Linked DNA regions of Mus musculus. The protein of the gene in region 2 binds, or shares a complex with, the protein of the main gene of each other region. Links are inferred from orthologs where the notes say so. Each region holds a gene or a part of one and is shown on either strand. Other genes may lie near its edges.

Region 1 (4,546 bases), on a different chromosome or scaffold from region 2:
CTCAGAAATTAGCCGGCCTCTGCCTCCCAAGTGCTGGGATTAAAGGCTTGTACCACCCTGGCTTGGCTCAAGGTTATTTCTAAGCAGATAATCTACAAGTACATCTTCTAACACTAACACAACTGGTTTGTCCATGATCAGTCCTAATCTCTGAAGCATCATTCATAAAGTAGATTGATGTAGCGGGCTGACTCATCTATTAAATTATGAATAACATCAAGAGACTAACTTTAACTATATCAAGATGAAACACACAAAGTATATAGAGCTATGCAAGGGAAATCTCATGTAGGATGTCCCATGTTACAGAGACATGCAGCATCACTTCAGCTTCACACCAGCTGAAATGAAGAGCAAGGAGCACAAAGCACCAATTTTTACATCAGTTCTGCAACTACAGTAGATCAGAGTTTGACATTTGAATTCATTATTGTTGTCCAAGCTTGCTATACTTCCTAGTCAGGTGACTTCAATGTCTTAGGAACATTACTTTGACACATAAAGTCTTTTAGGAAGCATTGAAGTGTCTGTTGGGAACAAGGTCACAAAACCAAGAGGAAAATGGAGCTGTCTCTTCCCACCAGTGAAAAGAGCAGCTAAGGGAAGATTTTGGGAAATGAGAAACCATGAAGAGGAAACGTGGGAACTCAAAGGAAGGAACAGACACAATCACCCGTGGGCTATGCTGCTGCTGAGAGCGACGTGCTGGACGTAATGTGAGAATTATCTTAACATTTCCTGGAGTTACGTCTCAAACACTCTGGTTTCTCTTCCCCGTGTCTGCTATCCACCTATGGTGCAAAAGTATCTATTTATGGGTAACACTGGAGACAAACATCATGTAGGCCTTTAGTTATTTCCCATAAATCTGAAATCCCTTCCCTGTCATTTTCCTCAAAGTTCATTTAGTGAGAACCATGGGAGGAAACAACCCTTACCAAAAAGGTCCCATGGAGAGACCATAAGGAAGTAACTATAATAAACCATGTTCACCCCTAAGATTACAGGGAAATGGGCAGCTAATAAGAATTGCTAAAGCCCAGCGGAAGCTAAAACTCTAAAGAAGAGGGATTTTCAGACAAAAGGAAAAACAACCTACACTGCAGAGAGCTACAGATAGCTACTGCCAGAGACTTCTAGAAAGAAGGAAGGAGGCAAGAAAAGCAAACTTCAATCTCTCTTTTCTCCTTGTTCTCTTCTCTTTTCCTAGCATTTCCTACCAAGTGAACCAACACAGAAGCTAGGACTGGGTGATGCAGTCTGTAGCCCTCGGCTTCTAGAACACAAAGCAACACAGCAGGAACACATCTAAGAGTCAGAGGAAAACAACCAGCATAGTGCAGCACCCCATCCTATAACTACCCACAAATTATCTATGTACGGGGTACTCGGAAGTTCAGCAGTATCACAGAAAGGCCTGGGCTAAAGGCAGAAGACCTGTGTTCACTTGTGATCACTGTGCCAGAGGGTTCTGCAATCTCCGTAAGCCAGAGAAACATCTAACCTGATCTTTATTGTTCTCTCTTCCTTCCTTCCTTCCTTCCTTCCTTCCTTCCTTCCTTCCTTCCTTCCTTCCTTCCTTCCTTCCTTCCTTCCTTCCTCCCTTCCTCCCTCCCTCCCTCCTTCCCTCCCTCCCTCCTTCCCTTCCTCTCTTTCTCGATCTCTTTCTTTCTTTCGACACTCAAACTGGCCTCAAACTCACCATTCCCCCCTAAGCCTTTAGAGTAGCTAGGACTGTAAGTTTGCATCACCATATCCATATCCAGTTGTTACATTCCTCCAATCAGCTGACACGTAGCAAGCTATCAATCAATACTTGTAGAACTAACACAGACACGATTTGAAAGAGTTCCTTCCTGGCATGAACATTAGTCAGCAGCTTGGGTGGCCTGATCGGAGTTCTGCAATTCTCCTGTGAACCTTTAAAAGCACTAACAGCCAGCTGGAAAGCAGTTGCTTAGGGTAGAGAAGGCTAGCACTTCCTGTCACACGGACTCTCCTGTGTTGGTGGCAACACAGGGCTCTTGATCCCTTAGAGACACAAGCTCCCTAAACTACGATGTTTATTCTAATTTTCACTTATTTTTACGTACTCTGGTGTTTTGCCTGCATGGATGTCTATGTGAAGATGTCAGATCCCCTGGAACTGGAATTACAGACAGTTGTGAGCTGCCCCGTGGGTTCCAGGAATTGAACTGGTGCACTCTGGAAGAACAGCCATTGCTCTTAACCGCTGAGACATCTCTCCAGCCCCAGAACTTTGTTTTAAATCCATGAATATTTCCTACACCTAGTAAACGAGCTCAGAGCCATGGCTTTATCTTTCATGCATCTTTTGTTACAGGATGTCCTTGTCCTGAGGAGGAAAAATTATCTATTGGCCTGAACGATGGACAGATTGGGTGGTTCAACTCCCCTGAAACTCTCCCTACACGCAGGTTCATTGTTAGAAAAGAAAAGAAGAGAAACAGAAGGGAAAGTAAGGGTATAGCAGAAAAGTGGGGACATAGCTCTCAGAGGAAAAGTGAGGCAGTCTTTCTGGGCAGGCTGGCATCCATGCACACACATCTGAACAGCAGGCCAGTTGGTCCATCACCCTTCAAGTCTTGGGTACAAAGGACCTGTGGGTTTGTCTCTGGCTTTTTTATAGTTTGCACCACAAGTTTAGAAAGCAAAGCCGTCGTTATGCTTCAGCATTGCATTTGGAAGCAAAGAGCACTCAGGATACTTACGAGTATGGCTTCGCTTCACCAAGAATACAGCGAGCAGAGGTAACAGGAGCATCATCAACCCGTGCTGAAGTCCTTTGCTTTTCCGATTTTTTTTTTTAACCTCAGACAGTGACAGACCCCTGATGAATCTTTTGAGAACTTGTACTCTACCGACTTACTTACACTTGGTAACTGAGCACTGTGGGGTGGGACAGGGGGAAGCATTCTCCAGTAAGAACTGGTAAATATATCTGGTGTCATTAGTTGCTAGGTAGAATAGAGACTTACAAAAATGAAAGCAATAAACATTAACCCCTTGTGGGTTTCAGACTCAGCTTGCTCCTGTCTTCTCTTCATCCAGTTCCCAACTGTAGCTCAATTACATGAAAGGTATAGGGAAGCAAAAATTAATGACATGGGTAATTTATTGCCTTTGGTTCTTTCTTGGAGTTTAGATTTTTAACCAAGGGACAAAGGAAATTGCACCCTGGGTTCTAAGATTTGGAACTCCCTGCTCAGTATGATTTTCCCATCCGTCTCAGATAGCATGTACCATTTAGAATGCCCTGTAATTTTTTTATTTATATCTGTCTTTCCTGTATTTTTTTTTTTTACCTAGAACAATAGACCCCAAACATCCCTGTTGAATCATGAAAAGAAAAGGCCTATGGGAGACTCTGAGGGGTCGCCACTCATCTTTCAAGGAAAGCAATCTCCAACCTATGGTCACATTGTTGTTAGAAGCACATGACAAGTTAGGAAACAGCAGCTGAGGCTGTTCAGGGAGCTGGGGAACAGGTCTAGACAGGAAAGAGGAAGTACAGGATAGAGAGAAGAATGGGGAAAAGGCAGGCTTTGGCTTGGGGTCAGGCACCATGCTTGATTTGACATGGTCAAATCTCTTTGACATGGGGCAGAATCACAGACTGCACCATGGCTGGACAGCTTCCCCTTTAAAAGAAATCTGTGTATTCCACAGGACTGTTGACTCAGTGAGGTTGTTTATTACGCAGGAAGAGGGGATAGGAGAATCAAACCCCTGGTTTCCTTCAGAGGTGAGTTGAGTGATGGCCCACTCTAAAAGCTCAGAACCCGTGAATACAACACACTTTATATGGCATAAGGGACTTTGCAGGTCCCGTTGATTTAAAGACGCAGAGATGGAGAGATGATCCTGGACCTGGCAGAACCAATCTAATCACGAGGGTCCCTATTTCAGGAAGGCAGAGGGTCAGAATCTGGGAAGGGTCTGTGACAGCAGATGCATTACTGAAGAGGGCATGAGCTAAGGAGTGCAGGAGGCCCCTGGACCTGGAATGAGAAGGTTACAGACCATACCCCAGAACCTCTAGAAAGAATGCATGTGTCAAAAGCTGGGTTTTTGTTTGTTTGTTTGTTTTGTTTTTGTTGTTGGTGGTGTTTTGTTTAGTCTTGTTTTGTTTTTTCACCATAAGACCTGTCTTCAGAACTGTGGCCTCCTAAATGATTGGAGAGAAAATATATATTGTTTGCAGCCACCTAATTTTTGCTTTCTATGAGAGTGGAAAACGTAGGCATGTCTTCCTTTCCCCACAAAAAGCTAAAAGAAATTATTTGATGGCCTCTTTTCAGATGCTTGCATCTCTTTTTTCCTTTCCTTCCTCTTTTGTTTTTTCCCTTGGCTATTCATCTAGCAAATATAGGTATCCATGTGCCCCTCACAGAGACCCCTGTTGCTGCTCCATGATGCTTGCACGCTGTGCCAATGTATTTGCTCCTTTGGGTTTTTGGATTTTTTTTTCCTGTTAATAGCTTGTTCCCCAGATTTCATGCTGTACTCTTAAAAAGGAAACATG
Region 2 (2,893 bases):
GTATGTGTGAGTACTACATGCATGTCTGGTGCTTTAGGAAGACAGAAGAGGGCGTTAGACTCCTGGAATTAGTTACAGATGGTTGTGAGCTACCATGTGGTTCTGGGAACCAAATCCAGGTTGTGTAGAAAATCTACCAGCGCTCCTATCCACGGGTTGCTATCTCTCTAGCCCCCCACTTTACTTTTGATAACAGACATCATAATTCATGGTCTTTATAGGCTCGGATGCACTGTATCCATAAGGTATTTCATAGCAGTGAGCACAAGGAAGCTCTCGTGCAGCTGAGGGAGTGTTGTATAACTCTCCCAAAACTCCTGGCAGCTGTCTGAAGGGTCAGAACCCTAATATCTGATGATGTAACGGTGCAGATGTAGCCCAGGGCCTCTGCTTCGTACCTTGAAACAACGAGTTGGGAGTTGGAGCAGCTAGGAATGTTTTGGAACCAACAGGGAGAGAGAGAAGAAAGTGCGCTGTAGTCACAGCATGTTTTTATTTTGACAGTGTTGGCATTCATGAGTGGTCACAGCCTCTCCCGCTTCCCTCACTTTGATCCTTTTTCTAAGAGAATTTTTTTACATCTGACTTTTTTTTCATTTACTCATTTTACATTCCAATATCAGTTCCCTCTCTCCTTCTAGTACCTCTGCATGAAGACCCACCCCCATTCCTCCTTCCCTTTCTCCTTTGAGAAGGAAAGCCCTTTTTAGGTAACCCTCCCCTGTGTGTCCCCCCACCCCCGATTTCTTTTTTTTTCTTTTTTATTAGATTTATTTATTTATTATATGTAAGTACACTGTAGCTGTCTTCAGACACTCCAGAAGAGGGAGTCAGATCTCGTTACAGATGGTTGTGAGCCACCATGTGGTTGCTGGGATTTGAACTCCAGATCTTCGGAAGAGCAGTCGGGTGCTCTTACCCACTGAGCCATCTCACCAGCCCCCACCCCCGATTTCTTAATACCTCACATAGATGGTGTTAGCTTCCACTTTGATAATTCTGCCATCCTCTTGTCCTGTCCCTTTTCATCAGCCCAGGGCTCTCTTCTCAATAGCACAGAAAGCAGAGACTTGTACAGTCCAGGGCCAGTACTGCACTCCCAATGTGCTGGCACCTTCAGGCCCAGCTCAGCCCCACACCTCACACGGGGTCCTTTAAGTAGCCAGGATGTGGAGTACTTTACTTTGTATTCGGAGGCAGGCAGGCGGCTACCCAGAATGCCTCATAGGCCTGGTGGACCTTGATGAAGAAGCTGAGAGAAAAACGGAACAAGATTGTTTTCAATAGGGATAATTCCAAAAGCAGATGTTGGGGGTATGGTAGAAACATCTGGAACTCAGCACACTGGACTTCATCCCTGGTTTGGGTGGGCAGATACCTGAGAGTAGGTTGATCTACAAACTCACCTTGCTGTCTGTGAAGTCCCAGAAACAACAACAGCGCAGAAAGGAAGATGATGCTGGCAAAGATGACTCCCAAGGTTCCTCTCTGCTCTGTGGGTGAGAATGAACACAAGACCACATGCTGAGCCCTCACCCTCCAGTACCCCTCCCCTTAGGAGGGGAGCTCTGGCCTGGGTGCTGTGAATCCTCACGGAAGGACGGGAGCCTGCCCACGCAGCAGCACTGCACTTGTTCAAGACTCTCAAGTTTGTGTGTTGCTGTTCTGCCTCTTACTCCATCGGGGCTTTGTTATTCTGAGACAGGGCCTCATGATGTCCAAGCTGGCTTTGAACTTAGGAGTCCTGCCACAGCCTTCTAGTGCTGTGTTTATAGGCACACCCCACTAGACCCTATTCTATCTCAGGACATTTGAAAATGTTTTACAGAAGAGAATGAGGCTATCTCAGTGACTACCAGCAAATAGCTGGGGAATGATGTGAGCCAAAACAAAAGGCAAGCTTTGGGGAAGCTCATAGTCTAGCGAGCAACCAAATAGGTCTGGAGCTCTTGGATATTTCATTGTGAGGTGCACATCCTTTCCTGCCTGAAACTGCAGCATTCTGTGGCCTTTGGGATGAAGTGTGTGTAGATATAGGGTGTAAACACGTAAGGGCTTGCAGCTTGCCTTTTGGTTATAGTGTCTCCTTTATTGTATATTGGTAGAGAACCTGGGGCAAACTGCTCAGTGTCTGCAAATGCCAGCTTACTCATCTGTAAGATGAATTCTGGACATGGCGATGGTGTCTGTAGTCCCAGCTATTTGGGAGGCTGAGTAGGAGGGCTGCTTGGCAGAGGAGTTTGAGGCCAGCCTGCTCAGGAAGACCGGTTTCCAAAAATAAATGGGAGGTGTAATATGTGAGATCACCCTCAGAAGCTCTTGAGTATATTGGGGGTGGAGAGTTGGCTAAGAAGTCAAGAGTTCTTGTTGCTCTTGCAAAGGACCTGGGTTCCAGTCTTAGCAGCCACATAGTGGCTGACAAGCATCTGTACCTCCAGTGCTAGGGGATCTGATGCCCTCTTCAGGTCTCCATGGGCATTGCTTGCCCATGGTGCACTACAGCAGGCAAACCACGCAAACACATAAAATATTAAAGTTAGTGTAGAAGCTGACTTTCCAATGCTTGGTCATATGGGTGTGCAGATGTAATCGTCTTAAGTATCATTGCCTCGTGCCCTTTTTTGCACACACCCTCAGGCCCCTAGGTTTTCTGTAGACTCTTGTGTCGTTTGGTTTTCATATGGACTGTGCTTCCAGTCTTAAGGGCTTCCTGCTGAACTTGGGCTGGGCTCAAAGGTCTGTTTTGGGTCTTTTTCCCTGTCTGCCTCAATTTGTCTCTCTAGCTCCTATGGGAAGGAGCAGCACTCCTTTACCTCTGATACCCAGCCCAAGCTTACTCATCTCATTATTTGGAGGCTGGGGATTCATAGTGGTAGAGGATGCCACTCTGGGA

Evidence for each region.
Region 1: the proteins of Tapbpl (region 2) and Mr1 are in contact, whole or in part, in an NMR structure (PDB 7RNO), measured with the Homo sapiens proteins. The link is inferred for Mus musculus from reciprocal best matches to the Homo sapiens genes TAPBPL and MR1. Residues at the interface, in NP_060479.3 of Homo sapiens: His47, Arg48, Gly49, Ala50, Ala52, Ser53, Ser54, Leu129, Met131, Thr132, Glu133, Thr135, Arg228, Gln230, Lys232, Gly233, Arg234, Gly235, Thr280, Ile282, Gln293, Ile295, Gln297, Arg307, Leu308, Ser309, Ile320, Cys321, Asp322, Leu355; in NP_001372090.1 of Homo sapiens: Arg101, Arg104, His105, Asn107, Thr129, Gly130, Phe131, Leu132, Gln133, Ile143, Phe144, Asn145, Asp147, Thr148, Leu152, Ala153, Val154, His159, Thr160, Lys162, Gln163, Ala164, Ala167, Asn168, Gln169, His170, Thr213, Phe214, Pro215, Asp248.

Annotation. Positions count from the first base shown.
Region 1 is NC_000067.6:155,143,900-155,148,445, forward strand, and holds the start of Mr1 (major histocompatibility complex class I-related gene protein isoform 1 precursor), read right to left. Parts: upstream 2,916-4,546; 5' UTR 2,788-2,915; coding exon 2,733-2,787; intron 1-2,732. UniProt on the Homo sapiens protein: Antigen-presenting molecule specialized in displaying microbial pyrimidine-based metabolites to alpha-beta T cell receptors (TCR) on innate-type mucosal-associated invariant T (MAIT) cells.
Region 2 is NC_000072.6:125,223,458-125,226,350, forward strand, and holds the end of Tapbpl (tapasin-related protein precursor), read right to left. Parts: intron 1,494-2,893; coding exon 1,407-1,493; intron 1,253-1,406; coding exon 1,209-1,252; 3' UTR 748-1,208; downstream 1-747. UniProt on the Homo sapiens protein: Component of the antigen processing and presentation pathway, which binds to MHC class I coupled with beta2-microglobulin/B2M. Association between TAPBPR and MHC class I occurs in the absence of a functional peptide-loading complex (PLC).